Linked DNA regions of Arabidopsis thaliana. The protein of the gene in region 2 purifies or fractionates together with the protein of the main gene of each other region. This does not show direct contact. Each region holds a gene or a part of one and is shown on either strand. Other genes may lie near its edges.

Evidence for each region. Proteins that work in one complex are often made in the same cells at the same time.
Region 1: the proteins of AT4G30820 (region 2) and CYCH;1 purify together in Arabidopsis thaliana (affinity purification with mass spectrometry; 2 studies listed by BioGRID, with this or other methods). This does not show direct contact.

Annotation. Positions count from the first base shown.
Region 1 is NC_003076.8:9,769,684-9,775,430, forward strand, and holds CYCH;1 (cyclin H;1), read left to right. Parts: upstream 1-1,619; 5' UTR 1,620-2,078; coding exon 2,079-2,138; intron 2,139-2,354; coding exon 2,355-2,405; intron 2,406-2,481; coding exon 2,482-2,560; intron 2,561-2,656; coding exon 2,657-2,769; intron 2,770-2,876; coding exon 2,877-2,950; intron 2,951-3,132; coding exon 3,133-3,253; intron 3,254-3,361; coding exon 3,362-3,430; intron 3,431-3,699; coding exon 3,700-3,741; intron 3,742-3,924; coding exon 3,925-4,002; intron 4,003-4,353; coding exon 4,354-4,412; intron 4,413-4,550; coding exon 4,551-4,635; coding exon of another isoform or gene 4,636-4,701; exon of another isoform or gene 4,702-4,720; coding exon 4,721-4,996; coding exon of another isoform or gene 4,997-5,001; 3' UTR 5,002-5,192; downstream 5,193-5,747. Other genes in the region: ALY1 (protein ALWAYS EARLY 1), read left to right, coding at 1-23. UniProt on the Arabidopsis thaliana protein: Associates with CDK-2 and CDK-3 and activates the CDK kinases.
Region 2 is NC_003075.7:15,004,848-15,009,164, reverse strand, and holds AT4G30820 (cyclin-dependent kinase-activating kinase assembly factor-related / CDK-activating kinase assembly factor-like protein), read right to left. Parts: upstream 2,672-4,317; 5' UTR 2,608-2,671; exon of another isoform or gene 2,518-2,607; 5' UTR 2,463-2,517; exon of another isoform or gene 2,059-2,462; 5' UTR 2,022-2,058; coding exon of another isoform or gene 1,979-2,021; coding exon 1,954-1,978; exon of another isoform or gene 1,672-1,953; coding exon of another isoform or gene 1,649-1,671; exon of another isoform or gene 1,564-1,648; coding exon 1,307-1,563; intron 1,166-1,306; coding exon 1,100-1,165; intron 1,012-1,099; coding exon 787-1,011; 3' UTR 541-786; downstream 1-540. Other genes in the region: scpl29 (serine carboxypeptidase-like 29), read right to left, coding at 3,148-3,336, 3,423-3,528, 3,636-3,731, 3,831-3,964, 4,039-4,302.

The DNA.
Region 1 (5,747 bases), on a different chromosome or scaffold from region 2:
TGGCTCTTGTAAGAACGTCATGAAACATTTGTGTCCTTTGTAATTAACCTGACATCGAAGATAACACTTGGAGATCAGATTTAATTGTTTGGATTGTAGAGGTTAGTTTAGTTTATAGTTAGTTAATAATTTGAACAGCTCCAAAGGCTGTTGATAATTAGTTACCATTGATTCTGTAACTTTTTTTTGTCATCATTCATTGTAACTTTGGTTACCTTTTACTTTGGAGCTGTTTTTTTTTTCTTTCTTTCTCAGTGATTATTTTCTTGGGTCATTTTGGATCCTAATGGCTGAAATAATTTATTCCCACCTTAATACAAAATCTCAAATATATACTATTCCTTAACTAAAATTCTAGAACAATGCCAAATGGATATGTTTGAAATACCTTTAATAACAACTAGGATTTAACCTGTGGTGTACCACGGACAAATGTTTTATTCATATATAATAATATTAAATTTTACGGTTTTTAATTTAGTATTTAAGTTTTATAATTTTATATTAATGTTATAACTAAAACAAATGGTGATGATAAAATAATAAAATAAATATTTAACATGTGCTATATCAATCCAAACTCGTCCCACTATATTTCATATCAATCCAAACCCGTCCCGCTATATTTCTCATCTCATGATATTTTTTTATAAGTTTAAATAATAATAATGTTTTATAAAGTTAAAATATATCTATAATATTTAAAAATAATAATTATTTTTTACTTAAGTTGGAAAGATTTTTGGAAACGTTTGTTGAGCGCAATATAAAGTATTTAAATTTTCAAATCTGAATAATTAATACCAATTATATATCTTGAAAGATCTTTGGCAACTATTGTTGAATATAATATCTTGTATTTAATTATCGACAGGAAATATTTAATGTCAATGGCATGACATTGTAAATACAAGTACAAAATTTATTTGCTAAAATGGCTGCAAAAATGTATATGTAGATTTACTTCTAATTTTAATGTTTCAAAGGACAAAACTAGGCATGACCATAAAATCCGAAGCCCGAAAAACCTAGTTCGCTTTGGTTCGAGTGGATCTAAAGTGTTTATTTTGGGGTTTTGGTTTGGTTCGTGTAGGATCTGAAACCTGAACAGATACCTGAAATATCGAAACTCAAACGGATACATGTAACTCGAAATAATACGTATACATAATTTGTCGGTAAATTCAGGTTCAATATCAGGTTTCAATTAAATTTGAGAACCAGCCCGAACCCGAATAGACCTCAACCGATATTTTCAGTTCCTAAATGTATTTTCAATCTCTTTACCAAAGTAACCCAAAAACCCAATCTAAACAGACCCGAAAATCCGAATGTCCAGACCTAACTAAAATCGTGAGTCAAACTCAAAAAATGATTGATTAACACTATATTATACTTTTACTTAGATTCTATAAATTGGACACATGTATGGGTGTTATTAAGGGTTGGAAACATAAATTTAAGCCATGACCTTATTTTTGGTTGGAAAATTCTTGTTCTTTTTTTTGTTAGTAAAGGGCTGTTAATAAGGGTTTTAATGGGTTAGCGAACGACACCGTTTATAATAAATATGTTTGCTAAACGACATCGTTTGACCTTAGGGTTTATTGTTTAACATGAAAGAACGTCGTTTCACCAACGTTTCTTCTTCCTCGCAAGTCTCAAAGCCAGGAACGATCTCGCCGTATGAGCAACTTCCGACATTAACACTGTATTGCTCTGCCGTACTCTCCTCTTTTTCCCTTCATACTCGTCTTCACATCTGAATTCCGACAAGATATTGCGTCTGCTCTCCTCTCTTCCCTCATTCTCGTCTTCTCATTACCAAAAACATCTTCTTCTCGTAGCTAACTCAATCCAATTCCAATCTCCATTCAAATCGAGCACCAGATAATTTTTTCTCCTAAATTCTAATATAAGCCCTAAAATTCAAAATTGAAATATCTATAGAATCTCCTTCCGATTCAGACGGATAATCGCCATCAACAGCGTGTGAATTCGATCAAAAATCTGAACTTTCCACAAAGAAATTCGAAAGCTCAGATTTTTCGATTTCGAAAATTTTGAAAACTCAGTTAATGGCGGATTTTCAGACATCAACACAACGGGCCAAGTGGATTTTCACTCCCCAGAAACTGGTAATCCCCTTCTCCTTCTGATCACTACAATGCGGCTTTATAATTATATTTTGTTCATCTTTGGATTTTCTTTGCTTTGATTGCTTCATAGAGAGTCGGATTAATCGAGCATTTGGAACTCTTTGTTACTTAGTTATGTGTGTTGTTGTTGTTATTATCTTACTTGTTGTGTAGAGATATTGGTATTGCAACTAAGCTGTAATGTTGTAATTGTAGGCAGAGAGATATAAAGCTGCTAACCAGAGGGCAGTGCAAATGCTGGAGAAGGTTTGTTAGAATAATTGTTGATATGGAGCTTTAGTCCTGTATTCATGTTTAGATTTTAACTTATTGTTATTCATAGTGTGGAACAACTCAAGTTGAAGTAGATGCTAGTGGATCACTAACATATCCTAAAGATAAAGTTGGTTCAGGAGATCAAGGTAAAAATTTTGGTTCCTTCAATATCTACTTCATACGTATCATAGTTTTGTTTGTCGAAGTTTAAATAATGTTACTTTTTGCTTTGTTACTCTCAGCTGATAAGAAGCTTAAGCCTTTGAGTGCTGATGAAGAAAGGTTCATGAGAGCATTTTATGAGGCAAAGGTCCAAGAAGTGTGCAGTGCCTTTGCATTTCCTCACAAGATTCAGGTGCATTTCTACTCGTCGAGATAGAAGTTTATGATGAAGTTAAAAATAAAATACCTGATTTTTGTTTGCTCTCTGAATTTATGTTTCTTCCTTCTAATATTTTGCAGGCAACAGCCCTCCAATACTTTAAGAGATTTTATCTGCAATGGTCTGTTATGCAACATCATCCAAAAGAGATAATGTATAGTTCTTTTAAATCCTCAAAATGGTCAAAAGCTTTGCTTTTTTCAAGAGAATAGTTTTGAAATTGTTTACCAAATGGAGCTAAGCATTTTGTATTTCTGAGCTCTGAGAGGCTTTTTAAGTCAGTCATAAATGGTCCATTGTTGTAATTTGGACTAATTGTTACCTTTCATTGAACAGGTTAACCTGTGTGTATGCAGCTTGTAAAATAGAGGAGAATCATGTATCTGCTGAGGAAATTGGGAAAGGGATTAACCAAGATCACCGAATAATTCTCAAGTACGAGATGGCTGTTCTTCAGGTATGATATGAGTCAATTAATTTGTACCAACTTCCCTATGTTTATTTTTCCCTGGTGTTCTTTTCTCTCTCTATTCTTTTGTTCATATTATATTAACTCTATGTGCAGAGTTTGGAATTTGATCTGATTGTTTATGCACCGTATCGTGCAATCGAAGGTTTTGTCAACAACATGGAGGTAAATCAGTCCTGTCTAAATTTCTTAGTAGGTTTTCTTATTTCAACTGGCTTTTCTCTGTTTACATCTTATAGTGATGAGACTCTTTTTCAGTTTATTGGCAATTGTTTTGTTGCAAACAAAATTCTGAATGTTAACTTAACGCCAAGAACTTGGTGAACCATAATAGGATATACCAAGATTTTCAATACTTTTTTCGGTGTGTTATTTTTCATCCTTGTTGAACTTCACGCTATCTTCAAAAGTAACCTCATCTTTTCATCCTATAGGAATTTCTTCAAGCTAGAGATGATGAAATCCAAAAACTAGAGGTAGATCTATCTTCAGATATTTCCTTTATCTTCACTAGATTTTAAGCATGTGGTAACTGAATGTGGGATCAAAATGTAAATTTTAGTGTAAGTTTGTGATCATAGCTGTAAGTCTATTTACTTAACAGGCTTTATTGAAATATTATTTTCTCATACTGGCATAACTTTTCAAGTATTCTGCAGAGTTTGCTCAAAGGGGCGACAGCAGAAGCCGATAAAGTTATGCTCACAGATGCTCCACTCCTCTTTCCTCCTGGCCAGGTGGGCATGCTAGTTTATTTTGTCTCCCTAGCCTCTTATTATCAGATTAAAGATACTGAATAATATCCATCAAAGAATCTGGTTAAACTCATTGTTTGGGATATTTCAGTAAAGCTTTAAATATGCTACTCAAGACATAAATTTAGGATGAAAGTTGGTGCTTTGTTTTCTCTTTGACTGATATTTAAGTGAAATTAATGAATGTTTATGATATAGTAGTATAGCTTATCGATATATACTCACCTTGTTCCTTCTTTCAGGATTTTTCGTTTTTCTTTAGCGTATATGTAACAAAAGAAGTATCACAAATTGTTGTACTGTCTCTCAACTCTTGAACGTGTGCCCTTGTAGTTGGCATTGGCGTCGTTACGTATTGCAAATGGGGTTCTTGGAGTGATTGACTTTGATAGGTTATTTCTCTTATTCTATATCCATCCCGATTATTTACCCTTTTAATCTTTCCATGATATTAATCTCGTGGTCTTGAATTTCTGTATATGCAAAGCTTTTTACTGGTTGTATTTTCAACTAAACTGCATTTGGTGCAGGTACCTAGAGAACATTGTTTCTCAACCGAACTCTGAGCACACGACTTCAGAGCTTACAAAGTTACTTGATAACATCGAATATTTGGTATTTACTAACTTCCATAATTATCTTAACAATGAAACTTGCATATCTAAAAGGAAGTTTTACTAGATGCTCTCTCTTATCTCAGGTAAAGAACTACAAGTGCCCAAGTGAAAAGGACATGAAGCATATCAACCGGAAGCTAAAATCTTGTCTAGGACATAGTTCTTCACATGACGAGTACACTAACAACCTCTCTTCTACTAATTCTTTTAACCACTATATATATTTCATAAGCTTTGCTTCTGCAATTGACTCCCTTCTCTATTTATCTTCATCAGGAGTAAGAAACGGGAGAAGAGATCAAAACACAAGTCCCATAGGAGCTCCAATGATACACCAAACGGGGCACCGCCACCCATAGGTTGAGTTTCTCGTACTGCCATTAGCAATTCTTCCTTTGCACTTTGGTTTAGTTTTAATCTTATTGAATGAGAAATTCGTCTTTTATAGTTTCTTCCCCGTTGTTGTTCTTACTAGTAAATTTGAGCAGATTATGTATAACAATGATATTGGCCATAAGTTTTGTTTATTCTGAAGATGTTAATGAATTTATAACAAAACTTCCATTTATTTTAAGTTTTGGTGTACATAACAATCGTCAAAAATGGTTTGTTTGCGATAATGATCAACTTTTTACATGATCAAAAGTTTTTCCAGACATTTTGATACTTTCTAGTTACTACCACATCTGTTCTTACACAGAAACAAATGGATATGACTAGTGTAGCGGTAACTATCAAATCCTAATAATAACAATGAAAATTTGTATTAAATAACCAAAAACCATCGAAAATAAAATTTGGATTGTGAATGAAACTTGTAAAGATGCTTGATTGGTTGTGCTAAATGTCTTTTACAGCCATAATATATTTGTTAAAGACTAAATTGTTGCCAATTATGTTATAGTTTTTTTCTTTAACTTAGAGCCCCAAAAAAAATCTTTTTGTTTTGACTGTAAATCTTTAATTTTCTACATCCTATTTTGTGTTGTAGATTTTTTTTTTTTTGTAGATTTTTTTTTTTTTTTCTCTCCTCTAACTTTTTGTCACGATTATTTTCAACTAATAATCTAAAATGTAGTTATATGAATAACAGATAAAGTATTTTATACA
Region 2 (4,317 bases):
GTACTCAATGTGAGTTTACAATGTGTTATAAATGTGCAACCATCCCATATCAGTTATGCTGGAAATATGATGAGCATCCTCTCTCTCTTTGCTATGAAGATAGCACTAGCACAGATGAAATCTACTGGTGCGAAATATGTGAAGAAAAAATAGATACGACAACATGGTTCTACACTTGCAACATATGTTGCACCACTATCCACCATCTATGCGTGTTTTGACTCCTCTGCTTACATAAAGTGTGGTTCCACATTCAGTTGCGATGACCTAAAAGGGGAAGTTGTTCGTAACAGTAGCCAGAGTCGATTAATTTGCAAATTATGTGGCCTGTGTTGCCGAGGTTACATATACCTCAAGTTTCCTAAGTTGAATTTTTGTTCTATGTCTTGTTTAGACGGTGCCGAATCATTTCTTGATATACTGATGGGTATGGAAACAGAGGAAAATGTTATGGCAACTGGGAACGGTGTAACTGCTAAAGATGAAACTATGTCTTTGATATGGACATCAAAATCCCTTTAAATTCAATAACTATGTCCATCCTCCTTATTTTTTGCTTCTGTTCTACCATCTGTTTCCGTCTCTCTACAATTGAACAAGTACATGTATTTTTTGCGATTTTTCTTTCGTAAATTTTGTTTTCCTTGATGCCCGTAATAGAGTCTTGTCAACTATACAAAACAAACCAGCCACAAGAGTAAAAGACAGTAAACTGAGACAACAATGGAAGCTATCAAGACCTCCTAGTCACTATCATAAGGGACAAAACTAATATCGCTTGAGAAATCAAACCCAAATGCTTGCAAATGCTTCTTCCAAAGCCCTCCTCTTGCTTATCTCTAAAGAAAATCCTCCAGCTCTCTCTGCTTTCATCCTCCTCGTCGCTTCGTCTTCCATAGCGTAATGTTGACGCTCTGCTCCACCTACTATAGGTACAGGTTGTGGGCCCATTCCCGTTGGTCGTGAAGCCTGACCATATGTAGTTCCAGCCGTGACCCCATGGTTCGACGACTACAAAATGCGTAAACAAGTAAAGAGATTTCAGCTTCGTCAGGAAACTTCATCTGCTTGTTGATATGAAAATTAAAACCCAATTTACCGTGTCAGCATCTGTCTGTGGGGGTTTGGCCTTGCAAGCTGCCAAGGCTGCAGTCAATTCTTCTGCCTGTTGGAGCAAATTGTAAATACACCAAAAGCAATTTGCACAGTGATATCATATAACCAAACATGCTTTTAATCTTCTTTCTTTTCCTCTACTCATTCATCTAACCAAGATAAGAAAAAGTAAGGCTAACGTAGGCCCTACCTTACGAGCTCTATTAATCATTATCTGTTCAGCATTCTCCTTAGAATATCTCTTAATCTTCTGCTCAATCGCCTCGACATTGATTCCATCTATCAAGTCGAATACTGGTGGAATAGAAGGTAATATATACATTGGTCTTGTCTTGCATGAATAGAGAAAATAAGGAGCACAAGTGAAACTAACCCATGCACTCCACTTCTTCCAAGTAGTCATTGTAGTCTTTAAGTGATGGAAACTCCTCTTCCCGTCTATTGTATCTGCATCACCAGAAAGAAAGAAAAAAAAACATGATACTCAAGAGGCTGAAAATACTCTGCTTCTACAGAATGAAAAAATTGATACCTTAATATAAATCTATATCTCATCTGTTAGAAACTGTGACTAAAGATCTCCATTTTATGCTAAGGTATGCTAGGAAACAATGGAGCATCTCACTGGGTCCATAGATGGGAGAATTGCTTCATTAAGTGTATGCAGTGAACAAAGTATTTTCTATAAAAATGATCAGATGTGAAATTTAGCGCTATACATGCTAAGAGTCTATACTGATCAATACGCAGTAGATTGATCAAGGGGTTTAAATATCACACCATTTGCACAGGCAAGCATGATATGCAACGAGAGAAAAAGATCAGAACGAAGAATACATCTCAGAGATTCTCCTTCTGACATGTATTTCCTTATTTTGATGGGTAGAATTAGACACCATCACCATGGTTGCTTCTGCCTGGGATTCTTGTCCTTTCCTCTACCTACAAGGTTTTAGACGTGATTTCGCAAATAAAGCTGCAGCAAATATTACACAAGTCTTATTTTTACTTTCGGCTATAGAATCTTTAGAGCTGAAAACCATTATCCCAATAGGGAAAAACACATGAACGAGAAGAAACCTACGAAGAAAACAATTCCAGATAGCGAAGAAGATAAATCTGCGGATTTTCCAAGGATTTCTGAGGAACTAAGGAAGCAAGCATAAAGCACAATGTTTATGTAGACTCATGTGTAGGATATGAATTCGACACTGAAGTACAATGTTAAGCAAGCGAGAACAGAAAGTCGCCTAAAACACGATCTGAGGAAAATAGCTAATAGCTATATGCCAATTCTTCTATTCAATAGAATGCTAAAGACCGGAGAGAAGAAAAGTGAGACTCACAGGTAGAAATAAGAAGGTGAAGAGGGACGCGCGAGAGAAGACACTGAGCCCAAACCTGAAACACCCAACCGTCCGAATCCTCATTCAAAACGTCGTAGATCTCATCTTAACCCAAACAAATAAAGGTTAAAAATGAAACCTTTACCTCAGAAATTGCAGATTCCGACCAATTGAAGTTCAATGTTCAACTCAAGACAATTCACTTCCAGAAAAAAAAAAAAAAAAACAGGTTTCTTCAATTTGAACAGACAAAGGAAGAAGAAACCCCTAATTCTTTAAAATATGGGCTTAGGTCTCATGGGCCAAGTCAAGCCCAATGCTTCTGTATAATTTCGTTTAGACCCCCAATACTAGTCTAAATTCTATTTTCTACCCCAGTATTATATCCGTTACCAGATTAATACCCAGTCCTATACATCACAGATCAGACTTCACTTTCTCATTACACAAGAATATGTTGTTGTTATTCAAGGATCGTATGGCTGACAAATGGTAGAAACTTCTTTTATTAGATTCCAAGCAGCAAATGTTTATCCAAACAAACAAACAACCAGAAGAAGAAGAAGCATTGAACGTATCACTTAAAACACTGATTTATTCTCTTTCCCTCTTCTTATTTCAACGGCCTATGTGGAAAGTTTTTGATTGAGAATCCAAATCACACATTACATCAAATCAGAACTCATTATGAGTCACTAACGAGTTCAGACATGTCGCGGCTGATGCTGTTCTCATGTGTGGACAATGGAGTTCCAGATATAAAAGCCTTGAAGAGCGCAAGAGCTTGCTTCGGTCTGTGCAAAGGAACTTCATGGCCTGCACCTCTCACTGTCACAAAGTTCAGACCAGCATACTGCTGACTCCACCCTCCCACCTGTTTCAAATCATGACTGTTTATAAGTTTTTCTTATAACATAAGAAAAGGATTCTCATTTTCTCATCTTGAGTTTTGTTTTGTACCTGTCCATCTAAGTACCAAGGACCATAGGCACTCAAAGGACGAAGGTTTAGTGCATCGATACTGTACCGGGTTGATGTGACTGGTACAACGGCATCTGCGTCCCCACTGTTACCAAAGAACAAAACCTTTTCTTTTTACCACCAAAACGCCAAAACACTTGAAGAAAAGATATCGTTAAAGTGCTTTCAGTGGATATATTTAGAGAAAGAGACCTGAAAACCCAGATACGAAGCCCAGCAGCTATAAGCTCGTGGTAAATGTTTAGAACCGAGGAAGGAGAGTCATTCCAGTGTTCACTCACGACATCACTGCATAACCAAAGCTGTCGGGATCAGAATTGTTACAATACTTAAATAGGCTCATTTCCTCCAAAACCAAGTTTCTAAGATATTGCAAGGCAATTTTACCTGCAAGTATCCCATTTTGATGGTGCAAGTCCTGGTGGGACATGGAGGGCTTTTTGAACCTCTGGAAGATTGAAATAAACTGTAGTGTGTTTCTCCGTACAAGGATCATACTGTTCGCTCACGCGGCTAGTCATCTAAGTAAAATAAACAGAGAAATTAGGACACTAAAGAGTGTAACATTGAAAAGAGAAGTTTTAAGGCCACTTACAGGTCTTTTCTTTAGCAACATATTTGACTGGGAAGCATTGGCAACACAAGCTGGGGTGAAGACACTGTATTGGTCTATGTTACCTATTTCTTTGTCCGCTATCTCCAGAATCTTGTTACACTGTTTGGAGGAGTGAATAAACGATTCGAAACCGCATTGAAGTTGCAGTAAGCTGTATGTTTGGTCAGATATAAAACCCAACGACCAAATATATTGGAAAAGACCAAGCCTGTCATGGAAATCGTCCATCAGCCCATTTCCTACCTGCATCCACACATT